2 linked regions of the Notamacropus eugenii genome follow. The protein of the gene in region 2 interacts with the protein of the main gene of each other region in a biochemical or structural test. Links are inferred from orthologs where the notes say so. Each region holds a gene or a part of one and is shown on either strand. Other genes may lie near its edges.

Region 1 (10,298 bases), about 200 Mb from region 2:
CTCTGTGTGACTTTAAACATGTCACTTAACCTCCCTGGAGCCTCAATTTCCCGTTGGTAAAATGAAGGAGGTTGGATTCAATGGCCTCTGGAGTTCCTCTTCCAATTCTAGATCTATGATCCTGTAATCTGATAACTCACAAACTTTCTGAATATATTCACCTAAAGTACAAATACTGTGACATATGAGATGCCCACTTACCTATTCCTTACAAGTATTCTTTATTCTAGCGATTACTTACTGACTTCTGATTCTCCAGTTTTATGTTTTTTAAGTCCTTCTCTAGGCTCCCCCAACCCCCTCTCTTTTGTATACAAACACACTCTGGTCACACTCTATCAGCTGTTTGGGCAGCTCCGCCCACTGCTCAGTTTCCGGGTAGTAACAGAACAGCCAATGAGCCAAGGGGAGCTGTGCCTGCGGCCTTTCGCCTGCAGACGCTTCCCCAAAACAAGCAGCTCCGGCATTTAGCTGGGGCCTCTGGTTCACAGATAAAAGGATCAGAAAGACTGTGCAACAGGGTAGGACAGTGAAAAAACTCAGACGGTCAAGGGACCTTGGTGTAATCCGAGCAATTTGTTCCTCCACCAGGGGAAAATTTAACAGGTTATTTCTTAAGCGCAAATCGTAGGTTTAAGTACCAAAGAGCACGACTTCCAGTATAATCAAAATAATCAGCTAGATTTAAAACTGAAATTTAAAAAGCAACGCTCCAGTTCTGACCCAGAAAAGCCTCCACTGGGCTGACTGGATAAAGCGCCCTTCCTCTTCCCACCTTCACACACTCAAAGGCACTCCTAGTAGGCGAAGGCAAGTGCTAGGACAGGACAACATCCCCACAGTGCTAAGAAGCAATTTAAATTGGTTTTAGGCTATAGAAGAAGGTTTGCACAACAACCAGTAGAGAAACAATGAATGAGTCAGAGTTTCAGAACATAATCAACCAGCAAATTATTTCAGTGCATCGGTGCAAAACATTCACTCCTCAAATAACTTGGAAGTCTGACCTCCTCCTACCAACAACCCAGTCACAAAAGAAAGATCACTGACTTCAACTAATAGAGGCCACTGTCTCTGATGAACCTGTCCAAGCCATGGAAAGCAGGGGCATGAGTTACACGTCCATCCTCTTCTCTCCCTACCCCCACACCCTGTCACTTTAGTAGTGTATAGGTTCCCTGCCAGGCTGTAAATCCTGGTGGCATAATTACGCCCAGAACACATCCAAAAATGGGCTGAAACAAGAGATTGCTAAGAAAATGGTAGAAAGCATAAACCCAAGAAATTAAGGGCCAGTGGGAGTAACAAGCACGTACATTCCTTCAGATCTATTTTTTCTACTTCCTCACTCACTGTCTTATTTTCAACACCCTCTCTTTCCTTTCCACATCATTTCACTTATTTTAGTACAGGGCTTATTTTATGTCAGCTAAATATATGAGTACATTAGTTATATTCAAAAAGTGATGGCTCAATTCAGGCCTACTGATCTCATTTAATCAGAGAAAGCAGGCCACAAAACACGCAAAAAGACAAGGAGGAAAACCTACAAAGGCATCTGAAAAATATAAACTTCTCAATCATGACGTTTATGTTAGGAGGAGAAAACAAACACGTAGCAAAGACAATCCCTTGCTTTTAAATCCCCAGGACTATTATACAAGAGACCTGTGATTTAAAAGCACCTCTGCTTTCTTTTGTCAGAAGAGTGAAGGTGGGGAATGAACAGGAAGCCAATGTATCTTTGTCTTTCTTCATCATGTACTAAAAATAAGCTACGAAATAAAGCCACTTAGGGGAAAAAAAATCACCCTGCCCTTCTTTGTCTCTACCACCTCCCCTCCACAGATGCCCCTACTCCTAAATGCGGTAATCTTTCTAGATGCCACAACTAAGTGAACAAAAGGAGCAGTCTTGGGAAGGGCTCAGGTCAAGTTGGGCCTCACCCCTTATTCTCAACCTTTTAAAAACACATATGTATATATTTGAAGAATATGATATTGTTTAAAATAACAGCTAGAGTTCTTTCCCCTGGAATAAATGAAACACTAGCTGAAAATTTGCATTGGTTTGACAGTAACACTAAATCCAGGATAAAAATAACTCAGGTTCTGCCACAATCAGTGTCATTTCCTATTTTCTAAACAAGACTAGAATCTGAAGCTGCTTTGTCTAAATACACACATATCCACAGTTACAAGTTTTGCTACAGTCTTATGAAAAGCCACTAACACAACTGCTATTATCCATTACACACACTCAACCTTACCTAAGGAACAGTACATAAAACAACGTCTTGGTTTACCTTTTCCCTAGAAACAATTTCATTCGTTCATACATACGCCTTTCTCTTTGTCTTATCTCTCACACATTCCCCAAAAAATAAAAACTCAGGCCCAAACTTCAATATCTCCAGCAGCTAATCCCTAGCAAGTTCTCCAGGGTGGGGTAGGGAAAGCCACCTTCTTGTTTCTAAAAACATTAAGAATAATCTCTGAATTTGACAAACATCTACCCATCCCCCACCTGCAAACCAAAAATTTTAATACTACTTTAAAACTCTGTCAAGTTTGTTTGACTGAATATTCAATAGTATTACCCACCCTTTACAAAAGAGATAAATCATCCAATCAAAAATAGTAATGAATAAATAAATAAATAAATGAAAGAATTCTTCAGGAGAATCCAGCCAAACTACTTGTTATATAAACAAAACCCTGCAACAGGGGGGAAGAGGAGGAGAGGTGGGGAGGGGAGGGAAAAGAAGGTAAACTGGACTTTTCAACTACATTTTACCCCCATTTTCCCCCAGGGACAGGTCGCTTGGCTCGTTTCCTCCATCCCCCACAACCTCTAAATCACCCTTTAAAAAAAACAAAAAAAAAACAATACAAAACCCTGGATTTGTCCCGGGAACCTTCGGGAATTTCTCTGTGGCTGAAGTCATTAAGTAAATAATAATAACCAACCACCACTACAAAAGCCCGGTCTGCAGTATTCTTCCCAAATACAATCCAATCTCTCCACTGTCACCCCCAATAATATAGATCAAGTGTATTAGAGGAGAGTGTAAAGAAGGTTATTATTTGAGAAGAAAGGGGCAGGTATTCCTCAAAACCCTAATCTCATGCTGTTGAGGGGTTTCCCTGTAGTGAGCAGTGGGGTTTTGGGGGGTAAGTGCTCCCCATTCTCTCTTCTCAGTGTCACATATACTGGCAGAGGAGGGTGTTTGGCTACAGTCACAGAGGTCCCTCTCTTTACAGGACTTAGTCTATAAGGTATGCTTTGTCAGAAGCAGGCAGCAAAGCTGAAACCGAGAAGGGGTGCCTGACAAGTATGTAAAGGGTGATTTCTAATTGGGGGGGGGGAGTTAGAGGACACTGGATAGAACTGAGTCCTGCTTGCCTCTTCCTACTAATACAGCAAATAAGTGGGAATAAAGAAGGAAAGGGGCTATTTGGTCGCCCTAGCTTACCAATACTCTGGGTAGGGATTGGGGGGGGACTTTACTGAAAAGAGAAAGGAACTATCCTGGGATATTCCCACCTAGGGTCCCTAAATTATACAGCTGAGAGAGAAGAGAGGGAAGACCTGTAGGGTGGGCTTAAGTAGCTGGGGGAAATAAGCAAAAAGCCCACCTAGTCCCACGAGAAAAAGCCGGTCTTCGGAGGTTTAAAAACTGTAGAGGTGAGATCATGGCTACGGAGGGGGTGCAGGAGAGGGGGAGCAACGCGAATTTGGAGGGGCTGCAGTTAATGGAGGCGATGAAAGGGACTGGGAGGTGCTGAGGACGAGCCCCGGGCAGGGGGGAGGGGAGTCACGGATGGGGGGGCAGTGCCCCAGGGCCCTGGGGGGGTCCCGGGGAGGGAAGGCCGGGGGAGGGGGGGGCGGTAGGCGTCACCACCCCACGTCCCCCGGACCACTACACACAGACGCACACGCAGACAGCTCCCCCCCCCCCACGGCCACGAAGGATACAGCTTGACCACGTCCGTGTCCATCCGCCTCTTGCCCGGGCTGGGGGATGACATGGTGTCGCCTGCGCCGCCGCCGCCTCTTCCCTTCCTAGGCCCGTCTGTCACGGGCCCCGGGCCCCGGCGCTGTGGAGCCCGCGGCCGGCCCGGCTCCTCCTGTGGGGGCGGCGACACCCCGAGGTCCGGTCCGCCGCCGCCGCCTCTTCCTCCTCCCCCCGGGAGGGGAGGCGGGGGGAGACACCAGGCACCGTACGGCTGGGGGGGCTGGGGGAGCGCCCCGGGCTTCCCGGCTCTGTCTCTCTGGGGTCGTCGGCTCCGCAGCTGCTGCCCCGGCCCTGGCTCCGGTCCCGGCTTCGGTCTCTCCGCGCAGCGCCGCGCTGCTCCGCGCTCCGCTCCGCTTCCCCCCCTCCCTCCCTGGCTCGCTCTCTCGCAGCCTCCGCCACCAGCGGCGACTCCAGCTCCGGCGGCTGCTTCTCTACCGAAGCCTCGCTCTGAGCGCCGTGACGTCACCTCTCAGTGACGTCACCCAAGGGGCGGGGCCCCGGCTCGGCCACCGAAAGGGGAGGGTCACCGCGGCGGCGCGCAATTTCCTAGGGCCTTTTGGGAGTTGTAGTTCCGCTTTTTACCCTGGCTTGCCTTCCAGTTCCACGGGCCTTTTCCTCCTCCTCCTCTTCCTCCTCCTCCCTTTCCCTCCCCACCCCTCCAACCACTCCTGTCGTCATCATCTTAACAACAACAATAGTTAATTATAATGACAACGCTAATGATAGCTTTAGTTTTTATTTGGTTGTCTATTTTGAAGAGTTGAGAATGCTTCATATATAGTCTGCTTGTTAATTTCCAGGGCTCTATAAGCAAAAGTAATTTGAGGTTAACCTCTCTTGGAATTTGGCCAGTGGGGCAATCATTAGCAGAAAAACATCTAATATTGGTATACTGCTTTAAGATTTGCAAAGAGATATGTGTATGTGTTACAGATGCACATGTAAAATACATACTGCATAGATTTAAATATACATGCATATATTATGTAAAGTGCATGCATGTAAGTATACATGTGCACATATGTATGTAAAGTATGGATTGGGTCTAGGAAAAGTGTGTTGTATAAATGGAAAATACACATCTACATGTATAAACGTGTATTGTGTAAATATACATCTACACAGTTTTGTGCCTGTGTATGTGAATATACATATATATGTGTATACATAAACATATGTACATATAGGCATGTGTGCATATAGCCTCATAAAATAAAGAGGGCTCTCACAGCAACAGACTGTCTACATTCTGCTCCTACTTTGAAAAGTTATTGGTTTTGCAATAGTAGTATTCAACAGAGGTTTAATAAGTGCTTTGCTAGTGTCTTCCTTGTGCTGGTGATCGCCAATGTGTCGGATATCTATATCTTGTTTATACGTAGTTCTTTTCATGCTATCTCCTCCACTAGACTGAGCTCCTTGAGAGCCAGGACTGTCTTTTGCCTTCCTTTGTACTTAACAGCACAGTCTCTGGAACATTTGGTAGCTTGATAAATGTTTAGTGACAACCAGCTAAAAGCATGAAAGCCAGCACATAACTGTAGGGCTGTTGCTTCTCCTTAATTAACACCATTGTAATTCTTTTCATCTCCAACTGGCCTTGTCCAACTTAGCCAAGTCTAAAGAAACATGTGCTACATTATTCTTTGGCCCTGTCAAACTGACTTTTTTACAGTTCCTATATATGAGATTTCATTTCCTACAATGCCAAGCTGTCCCCATGACTAGAATATATATTCTTCTCATTTCTGCCTCTTAAACTCAAATTCGAAGTTCAATTCAGATGTCACCTCTTGTCAATTGGCCTTTCCTGATCCCCTGGTTGCCTTATGCCCTCCCTCCCCAAACAAAAATGATTACCTTGTATTTATTTTGTATACATTTTGTATATACCTGTTTTGTACAAACATATTTTGTATATGCCTATATGTAAATATGTTGTGTCCTCCTGTAGAATGTAAGTTTCTTGAAGGCAGGGATGGTTTCATTTTTGTCTTTTTATCTCTAGCATTTGCAACAGTGGCATGATCAATCCACAAGCATCTATAAAATGTGTAGTAAGTGCTGAGGATACAAAGAAATAGCCAAGTCCCTGTCTTTGGGGGAGTTGTAATGGGAATAGACGGGGAGGGACATTAATCAGCTGGAGAGTGTCCTGAGGAGGGCAGCCAGGATGACAGAAATGCTTGACAGCATGTCATATGAAGTTTGATTGAAGAAAAGCAGAATGTGTAAATGGAAAAAGAGAAGACATCAGGCCTCCTATTATAGCTTTGTTCAATTATTTTGAAAGAATGGCTTCCTTCAAGATTCAGCTCAAATGCTACCTTCTTCCAGTGGCTTTTCTTAGCTTATGCTGTTTTTCCCTTTCAGGTTACCTTGTATCTTCTTTGTTAGTATCTTATATGTACCTCTTTATGTACCTCTTTTCTCCCAAAATAGAATATAAACTCCTAGAAGGAAGGGACTTTGCTATTTCTTTGTATCCCTAGCACTTATTACACATTTTATAGATGCTTGTGGATTGACCATGCCACTGTTGCAGATACTAGATAAAGATAAAAAGACAAAAATGAAACCATCCCTGGCTTCAAGGATCTTATATTCTATAGGAGGACACAATACATGCACATATAGGTATATATAAAATATGTCTGAACAAAATAAGTATATACAGGATGTATATAAAATAATGTACATTCTCCTCACTTCTGCCTCTTAGAATTCAAGCTTCAAAATTCAATTCAGATGTGACCTCCTACATATGACCTTTCCTGACTCCCCAGTTGCGGATGCCTACCCACCAAAAAAATTGCCTTGTATTTATTTTGCTTCCACACTATGCCTCTCCAATTCATCCTTCACAGCGCTACCAGAATAATCTTTTTTATCCATAGACCTAGAAATGTTGCACTTCTAAAATTCATCAGGAACACTATATTGCCTCCATAATGAAGTTCAAACTTTACATCTCTGTCTGGAAGAGTCACTCAACTTAGTGGCCCCTCTACATTTCCAGCCTCATCTCTTGCCTGCTATATTGCAGTCAAACTGGATAACTGTACCTCTGAATACAAGTCATATTGTCATGCCTCTATACCTGAGCTAAAGCTCTTCTCTAAATCTAGAGATTCCTCCTTCCCTATCTTCACCTGTTTACCTCCTACCTGCCCTTTAAAACAAAGCGCAGACACTACCTTATTCAAAAAGCCTGCCCAGTCCTCCCAGTCAATAATAGTCTTCCCCCAGGACCTCATATAGCACTTTGCTTTGCAGCTCTCCAAATCACTTAGGGAATATTGTATACTAGAGTTATCTATCCATACTGGTGTCTTATCCTCCTTGAGGGATAAGTTCCTTGAAGGAAATGACTCATGAATCAACCAGCAAGGGTTTATTAAGTTCTTGTTGTGTGGCAGGCACTAGCTAGGGGCTGGAGATATAAGGACAAAAATAAAATCAGTATCTGACCTCAAGGAGCATATTCTCTTGGGGAGTAAAATATGGCTGTACACACTTACATGTAAATGTTTAGAATCAGATACAAAACAGATACAGAATAACCTTTGAAAGGAGGCACACTAACAGAAGGATAAAGAAAGGCCTCATGCAGAATGTGATGATGCTTAACCTGAGTTTTGAAGGAAAGCAGTGATTCCTAGAAATTGTGGGGTGAGAAGGGTGTGTACATTACCCATAAGAAGATAGTTTAAAGGCATGGAGATGAGAAGTTGTGTGTGATGTGCAAGAAAGAGGGAGAGGACCAGTTTGACCAGACTACATATTCTGTGGAGGAGATGTAGGGCTGGAAAGGTGGAATAGGAACAGGTTGTAAAGAACTTTAAATTTTAAAAAATTTATATTTGATCATAGAAGGAATAGAAAGACAACAGAATTGATTGGTGGATGTGGGGTGGTGTTGGATATTGGTTGCTGTGTAGAGATTGAAGTGGAAAGAAATGTGAGCAAATCTTGAAGTATCTAACCTCTTAGGAAAGTATCATTAGGAATAATTGGTTGCTATTGTATGTTTTAAGTATTTGTCAATGTGTGTTCTTAAGTTTGTAGTTTAAACATTTCTTCCATGATGGAGGAAATCAATAGCTATCCTATAACTGATCTATTTTTTACATCCAGTAAAAGGGACATTGCTAATTCTTTTGGGGGAGACTCTGGAGATGACACGAACCTCAAGCTTTGTTGTAGAGGTTTTTGCCTACAGTTCTATTCTGAGGGCATTGGTTGGGGAGTGTGAGGAAAGCTTGATCTCATTTGGGGGGAGTCAGGTTACCTAGTTAAGGTCCTAGGCCTGTTAGTAGGAAAGGGTAAGAATTTTATATCTGTTATATTGCTATTTTTTCATTATACTTACTGAGTGCAGCACTAAAGACTGATTATAGAAGGAGGATGAGGGACTTGAGGTCAACCGGATAGATTAGGAAATTATTGTTTGCTCTCTAATCCCAACCCCACCCTAAACTTTAACATGTAATATGGGCTCTCTCATCCAGGAGTTGACCATGCACACTCCTACCATCCCATGTCTCATAGAGGTTGGCTCTCTCAACTTCTCTCAATAGAGGTAAACTGTTATTTTTAAATACTCTTAACCAAAGCTGTAACTAGCATGGGGCAGCCAAGGCACAGCATATTTCCTTCCTAGTTGAGTATATTTCCTCCTTGAGGCGAGCACTACTTCCCATCTTGGGGCAGCTAGGTGGTGCAGTGGATACAGCACCAGCGCAGGAGTCAGGAGGACCTGAGTTCAAATCTCACCTCAGACACTTGACACTCACTAGCTGTGTGACCTTGGACAAGTCACCTAACCCCAGTTGCCTCATCCTGGGTCATCTCCAGTCATCCTGATGAATATCTGGTCACTGGATTCACATGGCTCTGGAGGAGAAGTGAGGCTGGTGACCTTGCACAGCCCTCCCTAACTCAAAACAAAGTCAAGTGCAAGTCATGTCATTATTTCTCTGATGGCATGGTCTTCTTTGTCAATGAAGGATGAACACATACTTCCCATCTTAGGCCTCCACCAGCCTACCCTACCATATACCACAATCACTCCCAGGCCACCTCCTCTAGAGTCCCATTGCTATGTTGATCCTCTTCCAAGTCCCACATTTTCCCCAAACCCTGTAGAGATACAGACCAGATTCTTGGGGTAATAGGGTGCCCCATTTCCTTGTACAACTCTGCCATGGTTGGACTGTGCTCTGAATATGCCACTCCCCATTCCCCAAACTCAATCTGCCCTAGGCACAAGAATTCTTAGCTTTTATTTTGACTTTTACTACATACACAGAAAGCCTCTTTAAATGAAAGTATATCCCAGTGAAAGAATTTGTCTCCCCATCTTTGAGAACCTTATTAGAAGGAGATAAGAATGGAATAGAAAAGCATGATCTCAGCTAACCCACTTCACTGAGAATCAGGCAGGACTTGGTGCTTATCTCTTTCAATAAACAAACTTTGTGCTATCACTTGACTCTGCCTCAGTTTCCCTCTTCTGTGTTAAAAGGGTAGAGGAGTTAATCTATGCAAAATACAATCAGTACCTAGGGAAACAAACCCTGTTAGATGAGTCCTCCTCAGAGACAAGGATTCTGTTTCAAATGAAACTTGACCAGCTTAATGTGTGTTCATCCTTTGTTGCCGAAGAAGACCATGCCATCAGAGAAATAATGACATGACTAGCACTTGACTTTGTTTTGAGTTAGGGAGGGCTGTGCAGGTCACCAGCCTCACTTCTCCTCCAGAGCCATGTGAATCCAGTGACCAGATATTCATCAGGATGACTGGAGACGGCCCAGGATGATACAATTGAGGTTAAGTGACTTGCCCAAGGTCATACAGCTAGTGAGTGTCAAGTGTCTGAGGTGAGATTTGAACTCAGGTCCTCCTGACTCCTGCACTGGTGCTCTATCCACTGCACCACCTAGTTGCCCTTACCAGCTTAATATCAACAAATTCATAGGAAGAAAAGATCTCAAGACACAATTTAAAGTGCCCATGAGGGTAAAAGGAATGGGGGAAATAAAGAATGTTACCTATTTCATCCCTTTGTGATAAATTCCTCCTTACAAAAATATAAAAATATCCATTTTCTCTTGACCTGCTCGACAACTCTACGAGCTAATTTTTAAGGCTATTAATTATCCTCTTTATACATCTGAGGAGACTGACCCTACTGAGAGAGGTTAAGTAACATGTCCATCATCAGACAACTACTAAATGCCAGAGGCCAAATTCAGAACTGTTGCAGTCTACGGGT
Region 2 (10,270 bases):
CTATGTCCCCTGCTCTTTTTGTGTTTGAGAACTGAGACCTTAACCTTGACCCATCCCGTGCCTTGCTCCTAACCGGAACCTGAGTCCTGACCCCAGCTTCCATACAGCTTCCTGCCCCCACAGTCACATACCATTTCTTTTCCTCAAACCCTCCCCTAACACACCCGCCCCAAGCAGTATAGCTAACTGTGAGAAGTCTTCTAAGACCCAAAGGGAGTTTCATCCTAGGGATGGGAGGATGATGAGACACCTCTTTCTCATTCCCTTCTCTCATTACAGTCTGAGGCTCAGCACTGACAGAGAGAAGCACTTCTGGGAGGCCCTCATCAGGTAAGTGATGTGAAAAGTGGTGTGAAAAGTGCCTACTGTGTACCCCAGGGCAGAGTGTGGCAGGTAGGAGAAGAGGAAAGCATAAGTCTGGCACTCTTCAGGGGTCATAGTAAGAGCCTAGACATCTAGTGTGAGAACGATACTAGGACACCATCTGGGCACTTATGTGCAGCCTGTCCTGGACCGTGAAGAGGGAGGGAAAACAGGAGGGAACAGATTGGCTGATTAGCCATCTCCAATGAGGGAAGGTTCCTCGGGAGCTTGGACTTGGGCTAGGGCTAAACTGGATGCGTACTGGGAGAATACCAGGAACATGGAACTTCCCTGCGCCTGATCTTACTAGAAGAGGGAGTTTCTTTGGGAGGAGTTGGATCTGCAACATACCTTAATAAGGAATGATAATAAATAACCACCAAATACATAGCACTTCAAGTCTACAAAACACCCCACTCACTACAATGCATGAGTTAGGGTGGTACAGCTGTTATCTCCATTTTATAAAGAACCTGAGGCTTAAGGTCACATGGCTAGTAAGCATCTAAGGCAAGATTCGAACAAAGGTTGTCCTACCTCCAAGTCTGATGCTCTATTTTACTGTCTCCTAGTGGGGGAGGGAGGGAGGAGTGGAGCAGAATTTTGAAGCTAGAAAACCCAGCTGAGACTTATGCAATAATTTAGGCAAAGAATGATGAGGATTGGAGCTAAGGCAGTGGCACTGAACATGGAGAGAAAGGGTCAGATGTAATACAGATATAGATTGGTGATAGACAAGATGGAAGGAAGGACCTTTCCTGGTCAAAGGCTTCACTTTTTGTATGACAGTCAGCATTCTATTCTGTTACTACCTCCCCAACTAGCTACCTTCTCACCTGGTCTCTCTTATCTCCACTTTGCCCCCAGGACTATATACATCATGGACCACGGCTGATTGATCTTCATCACTGGACCCATAGAAGTAGACCAACGAATCCTGATTGAAGACATCACCAACCCTAATTTGAGGTTCTTCAGTTTTTTTGAGGCATGGGGCTTCAACTACCAGGACCCAGGGCAGTCTTTTTATCACTGACACCAAAGGGCTTCTAACTGTTCCCTGACCTTTCTCTGGCTCTATCTCTCCCCACAAAGTCAATTTTTGTGCCAGACATCCTCACCCACTTGTACCTACATTTTTATACATTCAAATTCACCAAAATCTGACTGCCTCAGTGCTTATTTGTAGATAAATTCACATAGAGTTGACACTGCGAGTGTGTCTGTGTACACAGCATGTGGACTGCACAGGGACACATTCTTGCATGTATGTGTGTGTGTATGTGTGTGTGTGTGTGTGTGTGTGTGTGTGTGCTGTCCCCTCCACATCTGTGAGGGTAAATCATCTCCCCTGTGCCTGCCCCTATCATAGCATACAGGTTTAACTACTTCCTATGGTCCCAAGATTTGCTCCTTTGAAAATGTGCCAAGATTGACACCTAGAGCCTCACCCCTTTGCCCCTATCACCCACATCCAACCCCACCTTCTACCAGCCATGCCTCTGACATAAATTCTCCAGCCCCCAACACATTCTTCTCTCCATAGAAACTTTCTGTTTGTGTCTGTATGGAGGCAGAGAATTTAAATTTAGCACAAGCAAAGGCTGCTTGCTAAAGGTGACTTTTCCTAAACCCAACTTGAGGTTCAACTCGGACTGGAAGAAGAGAGAGGAGGCACTTTAGGATTTTCTGCATCAGAAGAGACTTCAGAGATTTTTAATGTTTCCTCTCTGCCATGGAAGACATGGGGGAAGAGGAAGTCACAATTCAGGCTCTTCCTGGCGTTCACAATGAGAGCTTGGATACAGAGAAATTCTTGTGCCAAGTTAAACTCTCAACATCCTAAAACTTTTTGCCCAGGATTTTTTACTTAACATTCTTCAATCTCTCCCTTCCTACTCCATCTAGAATAACTCACTCAATTTGTCCCCAACACTATGCTACTCATAGTAAGTTAAGGAATATTTAAATTCTATTGAACTAAGTAATTTGAGGCATTTGGTTCAGCTGCTTCAGTTGTGTCTGACTCTTCATGACTCCATTTGGGGGTTTTCTTGGCAAAGATACTAGAATGGTTTGCCATTTCCCTCTCCAGCTCATCTTACAGATGAGGAAACTGAGGCAATCTGGGTGAAGCGATTTGCCCAGGATCACAAGCTAGTAAATATCTAAGGCTGGATTTGAATTCAGGTCTTTCTGACTCCAGGTCCATAGTTCTATCCACTGTGACACCAGCTGCCCAAGTAATTTGAAGAATACATAAGCTCTCTTCCTCAAACTCAGATTCAAAACTACTTCTTCATAGTCTTACTATATTTCTTAATAGTCTAACACTTTTCATATGGAATTTACCCATATACCCAACTTCTTACAATTGCCACAATGTCGCTGACCTTGAGTCCCAGTGCTTCTGTTGTCAGACTCTTTTCTCTAACTTTGCCCATAGATCCACCCTCCAAACCCCTCTCTAATCAGAACCCTATTCCTGTTCAAGTCATTTCCTGATCTTCAACAAGGATAGGTCTTGTAATTGACTGGGGAGTAAGAAGGGAGGGAGAAAAGATAAAATACTTTACCCCAAATCCTGAAGGTTATTCAGATACTCAGACCCTGTACTCTACCATGCTCTCTGGCTTTGTCATTTTCCCAACACATTTTCTGTATTTCCCCCCCATCTCCAGGTTAGCTCTTAGGCAATACATCCAAGCTTAAACCCCAGCAGCCCTCCCAAAATGAAAACTGTCCCCTAGATTCCAGGAGTTCCTCTCTGTACTCAGGACCTACTGGCAAATATGCCCCATCCAACGCCCTGTGGGAATATTCCCTTTTGTACCCACTCCAAAGTCCCTAGGGTAAATACTTCCCTCAGTACCAACAAGAAGGCCATAGGAATAGGGCTGGGTTAGGGATGGGATCCTGGACCAGAGCCCTCACTGTTACCTTCATCCTCTGGTGGGCCTCAGCAGCAGTGACCACACTGTGACCTCGGTGCTTGCCCAGAGAGGCACACACTCCACATATCAGTGCCCGGTCCTGCTCACAGTAGACACTCAGGGGGTCCAGATGTTCCTCACAATGGCCCTGTGGCACTTGAGCCAGGCTCTCCACTAACCGTGCCAGCTGTTGGTTGGTACTGAGCCCATCGGGTTTTGTGGGTGCCTGGCAGGAAGGGCAGAGCACAGTTCCAGCCTGAGTATCCGGGACCAGACGAAGGAGGCAATTGCGGCAGAAGCTGTGGCCACACTCAGCTGTGATGGGTGCATCAAAGAGCTTGAGGCAGAGTGGGCAGGATAGATCCTGGTACATGCCCTGCATCAGGGCAGGAGCACCCGACATGATGGGACCTGGGGACAGGTAAAGAAGGAAGAGGTCAGAGGTGCTTCTGGAGATGCCCACTGGCATTTCTGAAGTACCCAGTTGAAGTCCAAGCATCCTTATCCCCCTGTTCACCAGCATCTCTCTCCCTCCCCCTTCTAATTAGCTAGGTGGAACAGTGGATAGGACACTGGGTCTAGATCCAGGAAAAACTGCATTCAAATCTGCAGACAGTGTGACCCTGAGCAAGTCACTTAACTTCTGCCTCAGTTTCTACAACCGTAAAATGGGGATAATAATAGCACCAGCCTCCCAGAGTTGTTGTGAGGATCAAATGAGATATTTGTAAACCATCTAGCACAGTGCTTGGCACATAGTAGTGCCTTAATAAATGCTCATTTCTTTCCTTCCTCTCTATATTCCCATCTCTCTAGCTCAGACCAGAGTATACTCATTCTCCCAACCTATGTATAGAGGTTTCATCACTCCAGCTAGGACCTAGGTGTTCCCAGGAAGTTCTGTCTTGCCAGCTCAGATTGAAGCAATCAAATCATATCAGCTTGGAACATCAGTGTTCCCCCTGCACAGATCTAGAAATCCCCATTCCCCATCAAAGAATGAGACCAGAAGCTGAGCCAAGTTCTATAAATAGACCTGACAGATGCATAAACCAGTGAGTGTCACCACCACCCAAGGAGGGAGAAAGCAAATGCCACAGGCCTCCACCCCAGAGGACTCAATTCAGAATCAGATACTCCTTCTTCCCAGTCTTCCTGCTTTCCTCTTTGTCTCACTGTCCACTACCCCAAGGCCCATGATTATAGACCTCCTGCTCCTGCTATCCACCCTTCCTCGAAAAACTCAGGGCCTCCAGTGAACTACACTTAGTTCTCTCAAGTCACTGCATATCCCAAGGTCATCCCTCATTTACAGACAATGAGTGACTCCTTCAATAGCCCAACCCCATAGATTCCAGAATTTTTGACCACCCCATCCTCAGCCCCTGCTTCTTCCAATGTTCAAAGCTCTTACTTCTTCCCTCTTTCCCTCTGTCACACCTTTCTCAAAACACAGACTTTCTACTCCCTGGGCCTTCCTTCTCCACTCTCTCCTGTTCCAAAGAGTAGAACTCTTCCTTCTCTATTCCAATTCCCTATATCTCTCCCCTTAACCCCACTGGGAACAGAATGAGAGAACGTCTTACCAAGATTTAGGGTTTCTGCCAGAGGTCAAAGTTGTGAAGTAGGGTTGGGAAAGGGGATTCAAAAGCGTGGAGTAGTGACCCAAAGTGAGTGTCCAGTCCAAGTCCTTTCTGACTTTGCTGGAACCCAGAGTGATATTTATATATCTTGGCATGCTACATCTCATCAGTTCAACTAGTTCTAAATTTGGGTCGTGATGGGGGCCTGGAGGAGGGGCATCACATGTCAGAGCCTCCTGTCAGGCCTAAAGAATTCTCCTGGAATTAGCCATCTCCCCTCTCTACCCCTCCCCCCAACTCTCAGGCTAACCCAGAAGCAGACACAGTCCAAAGTCTACTCCTGCCCAAAGCTCAGTCCATTACAGGGTCAAGCGTACCTCATCGTTCAACTAATTATCCAAGCCAAGTTCAGAGCCCAGCCCAGTCCAGAGTCCTTAGACTCCAGTCCTGACTACAACCTAGATCCCAGCTGTCTCACAGAATCACAGAATCTGAGTTGGAAGGGACCTCAGAGTCTATGCCGTACTTGAGCAAGGACTCCTTGTACAGCAGACATAACCAATCGTCATCTAGTCTCTTCTTGAAGACCTTCCACATGTCTTTTTAATTCAATTTTTATTTTTCAGTTCTAAATTCTCTCCCTTTGGCCTCTTCCTCTCCCACTTCCTCCCACGAGAGGCAGTTAAACAGTGAATAGAGTGATAGGCATGGCGTCAGTCCAACTCTGGCCTTAGACACTTGCTAGCTATGTGACCCTTAATGCTTCTTTGCATCAGTTACCTCAACTGTAAAATGGGGATTATAATAACACCTACCTTCTAGGGTTGTTAGGAGGACTAAACGAGATAATATTTGCAAAGTGCTTAGCATGGTGTTTGGCACATTTTGTTGTCATTCAGTCATTTTTCAGTCATGTCTGACTCTTTGAGACCCCACCTGGGGTTTTCTTGGCAACCATATTGGAATGGTTTGCCATTTCCTTCTCCAGATCATTTTACACACAAGGAAACCAAGGGAAACACAATGCTGTGACTTGCCTAGGGTTACATGGCTAGTTAAGTGTCTGAGGCTAGATATGAACTTAGCAAAATGAGTCTTCCTGAGTCCAAAACTTTATCCACTGCACACCTAATTGCCCAACCTACCACACAATAGGAGCTTAATAAATGCCTATTCTCTTCCCATGGAGAAAGCAAGAAAAACAAAACTTACTACAAATATTTGTGGTCAAGCAAAATAAATGGCCATATTAGCCATGTCAAATACATACATACACATATATAACGTAAATACGTATACTCACCTGTCTCTATGCCTCAGCTCTACTTTGAATCCATCTCTTTATATGGAAGTGAATAATCCTTCCATGAAATCTGTATGGACACAGTGGTTTGTGTGTCATTGCCCCCTTCTCCCCACCCCACACTGAGAGGAGGGACTGACTGTGTTTTCCACTTTCTTTGTCTCCCCTGTGCTTAGCCCAGCACATGTATGAAGCACTTGATAAACAACGTGGGGTTCTGCCACTGCCAAAGCAAACCATCCCACATCTGGATAGCTCTAATTGGCAGAAAGTTTTTCTTTACTACAACGCTAAATTCACCTCTTTGTCACTTCCTCCTTTTGTACTTAAGCTATGTTTCCACTTGGAGTCATTTCAGGACAAAAATAACTTTTACTACACACACACACACACACACACACACACACACAATCACACAAAGGTTAAAGAAAAGTAAACTAAACAGATGAACTCTTCAGGTCTTTGATTACAGATAGGGCATTCACTAATATTTCTCTTCATACCTATTCTACCTCATTCTGTCTTGTAACCCTTTCTCTCTCTGTCTCCTTTTAAGATTTTCCCTTAAACTATTTACCTAAAGAAGACCCATGAGGTCAACGGATTCCTTTAAATCAACAGAGGAACAAGTAGGTAACAGCTCCTGTCCTATTCCAGAATAAAAAACTACAGATTTATCAAGGCCTTCTCTCACAGGGAGAATTCAAGGTAAACCCTGAGAAGAGAGGAGTTGGGTTGACTGGAAGATTAATGGGAGTGGTATAGGGAGATGGCTTGTCTGATGGTTTTTGAATTGGAACCAGGTTACCCCTGCCCTGTTCTTTGCTCTTCCCTGACTGGGGTAGGGTGATCACCTATGGGTGGTATCCTCACTATTTTCTAAAGACCATCCACAGTTCCTCCTTTAGTAAGGAGATGGCAATCAAGCCACAAGTATTTATGTACCAGGCACTGTGCTGAGCACTAGATATACAAAGGAAAGCAGATATATGGTCTCTGCTCTCAAGTTCAAATACAAAAAAGGGGGGGAGGTGGCATAAAAGGTATATACAGTAGAAGTGAAAAATAATCTTAGAAGAAAGTCACTAGCATTGGTGGTGAGAAAAGGAGAAGGAGAGGCTGGGAAAGGTCTCTTGCAAACAGTAGAGTTTGAGCTGAATCTTAAAGGAAACCAGGGAAGGCAGAAGAGTGAAATAAGATGTAAAAGAAAAAGCTCTGAGATGGGAATTAGGAGACCTGGGTTCTAATTCCAATTTTAGCACTTACCTTAGGACAAATCATATTCCCTTTCTAAAAGAGTCAGGCCTTAGGCCTTGCTGAAATGAGTGAATGTCTTAGAAATTCGAGCTTCCTCTTAGATCTAAGAGGCCTAATCCTTTGGCCCTGGTCTTTCAGCTTTCACTACTTCATAGTATGGTGGAAAGACTACTCTATTTGTAGTCAGGGGTCTAGGGTTTATATCTTGATTCTGCGGTTTACTACCTGTGAAACCTTCAGATCTCAGTTCCTCGTCCATAAATTGAGGGGGTTGGATAAGATGACCCTGAAGGCCCCTTCTAGTTTCAAGTCTACAATCTATGACATTCTAAGCTTTCCCTAATTACTAAGCCTGAACTCAAGGCCATGGTCTCTCAACCGACTCCCTGAGTGCAAAGATATAATGCATTCCACCTGGTAGGTGCCAGATGACACAATAGATAGAGCATGGGGCTCATAGGAAGATCTAAGTTCAAATCCTGCCCTAGACACTAGGTGTATAAGCTAGGGCAAGTCATTTAACCTTCCTCATCCTCAGTGTCCTCATCTGTAAAATGAGGGGGTTAGCCTCTAAAATCTCTTGCAGTTCTAACTTTATGAACCTTCTACCAGTGCCTCTAAAACTGGATCCTATCTTGGCATCTGCTCTTTCTTTCCCTTCAACTCCTTGCTGCCACATACTCCAAATGACAAAAGTGAATTTTCTAGGGTTTCTTCACAAGGAAAAAACATACATACATACATAGATACACACATGTATGTATACATACATATATGTATATGTGCATATATGTGTGTACATGTATTCAGAAATCACATGTACCAGAGAAAAACTATTAGAAGAAGCACTATCCAGTTTCAGACAGTCTAAGTTACTCTGCTTAGCAACAGCTCCCCAGGCTTGACTTGGCCTGTCATTTTCTCAGTTTCACACCACAACCTAATACCTTCCTGGTCCTACAAGAACATAAATTCTTCTACCTCCAAAAATGCTGACTTGAAATTTCCCTGCCTGTGTGTTCCAAACCCAGCTCATTCCCGAGTTCAGCTATCCCTTTACAATTTAGGAAGTGATTTCATATGCAGTCATCCCTTTGATTCTTGTAACTCCTATGTAGTCCAAGCAGTTTTGATCCCAGAATCAACTCATATGCAACTGGGAAATCCCTTGGTTGCTTGACATGACATTTGCATTCCAATCTAACAACTGGCCTTTCCCTACTAAGGGAAAGAAGCAATAGTCATAGGCAATTCCCAAATTTCACACTAGATGATCTGTAAAATAACAATAAAATAGAACCTGTCCCGCCTACATGAGGGAGGATGAGGATCAAAGGGAACCACTGGTTGTGAAATTGCTTTCTAAACTATAAAGTATTAGATATGTGAAAGGAATTATTCTGATTATCAGTCTGGAAGGGAGGGAGTTCTCTAGAAGTCAGCAGGCAGCCTGAGGGCATGCCAGAGTAGAGGCCCAGAAGGAAAAAAAAAGGGAAAGCCTTCTAATAAACCAGTTTGGGAAGATTCTTTGGGAGGCTATATGTAGGACGGTGGGAGTCTGAGACATCAAGGGGCACGCATGGGGTGGGAAGTTTCAGGTAACCCTTGCTGTACAGAATTAAAATGACAGTCTCCATAAGGACAGGATCTATTTCTTCTCTCTCTTTCCTTAATGTCTCTGGCAGGGGGGCTTGGACATAGTTGGTGCCTAATAGTTGCTTGTCAAATTTTGTGAAGTACCTAGTGTGTAGTTGGTGCTTAATAAATATTAGTTGACTTAAAATTGAATTGATTTAAAATATAAAAATTACAAAATGTTAGAGCAAAAAGTACTGATTTGAGTTCATTTTGCTTTGTTCCTTTCTTTATGGTGGTGAGTAGATTTTAGCATACAACAGCAAAATTGGTGGTTAAGCAAGCTGGTGCCAGGTGAACCTTATTTTTCTATTAATCTACACTAGGAATTAAAGATATATTCTGATCATTAGAAATATAATCCCTGAGCCCAACAGCAATGGGTATAAGTTTCACAAAGATTTTTTTGAGCTCAACATAAACAAAACTTCCTAGCTATTAGAGCTATTCTAAAGTAGAATGCACTAACTGATAAGGAAGTGAATGCTCCATTACTGGATGTTTTCCAGGGCACACTGAATTTCCTTTTACAGAAGAGTTATAATTAGCAATTTTCAAACCTGGGTCTAGCAGCCTGAAACATGCCTTCCATTTATTTTGGGGAATAGAGTGCGTTGGTGGAGCCCAGATACTAAGAAGCTATTTCTGCCAGGCCATCATGGTGGAAAGATGGACAAACAAGGGGCTGGGAATTCACCAGTGGTACTACCAACAGGTAAGAGGAGTGGTAAAAGAAAGCAGTCTCTTACTATTTCCTTTTAAAATAATTATTCTTGCTGACTGTGTGCTAAGTTCACAGTTTTTTGTTCCTTTGTTTCTGGCAGCAAAAGAACTTCAATATTAGCATCTTCTAAATTTTGGCATCCTGGAACAAAATCTTAATTGCTCCAAACTAGTTATGAGTCTCCTTCTCTGAATTTTGTAGAGGACAGTCTTGTTTATATATGAATTAGATAGCTGACTTCTCAGGGATACAATACAAAATGCCCTGGATTTGGAACCAGGGGACCTGAGGCAGGTAACTTATTGTCTCTGGTTCTAAGTTTCCTCCTAAGTAAAATAAGGGGTTTCAGATAATTGGGAAAAGTCCTTGCAGAAAGTTTCTCCAATAAGAATCTCATTTCCAAGATTTATAAGAAGCTTAGTCTCACATATAAGAACTAGAGTCATTCCCCAATAGATACATATCAAAGGAT

Evidence for each region. The genes of interacting proteins can lie anywhere in the genome.
Region 1: the proteins of TRIM72 (region 2) and UBE2H form a complex in vitro, tested with the Homo sapiens proteins (2 studies listed by BioGRID). The link is inferred for Notamacropus eugenii from reciprocal best matches to the Homo sapiens genes TRIM72 and UBE2H.

What each region holds. Positions count from the first base shown.
Region 1 is NC_092874.1:120,220,864-120,231,161, reverse strand, and holds the start of UBE2H (ubiquitin-conjugating enzyme E2 H), read right to left. Parts: upstream 4,472-10,298; 5' UTR 4,032-4,471; coding exon 3,979-4,031; intron 1-3,978. UniProt on the Homo sapiens protein: Accepts ubiquitin from the E1 complex and catalyzes its covalent attachment to other proteins. E2 ubiquitin conjugating enzyme that transfers ubiquitin to MAEA, a core component of the CTLH E3 ubiquitin-protein ligase complex.
Region 2 is NC_092874.1:319,201,635-319,211,904, reverse strand, and holds the start of TRIM72 (tripartite motif-containing protein 72), read right to left. Parts: upstream 5,001-10,270; 5' UTR 4,883-5,000; intron 3,708-4,882; 5' UTR 3,700-3,707; coding exon 3,304-3,699; intron 1,526-3,303; exon of another isoform or gene 1,231-1,525; intron 331-1,230; exon of another isoform or gene 285-330; coding exon of another isoform or gene 280-284; intron 1-279. Other genes in the region: PYDC1 (pyrin domain-containing protein 1), read left to right, coding at 280-284. UniProt on the Homo sapiens protein: Muscle-specific E3 ubiquitin-protein ligase that plays a central role in cell membrane repair by nucleating the assembly of the repair machinery at injury sites.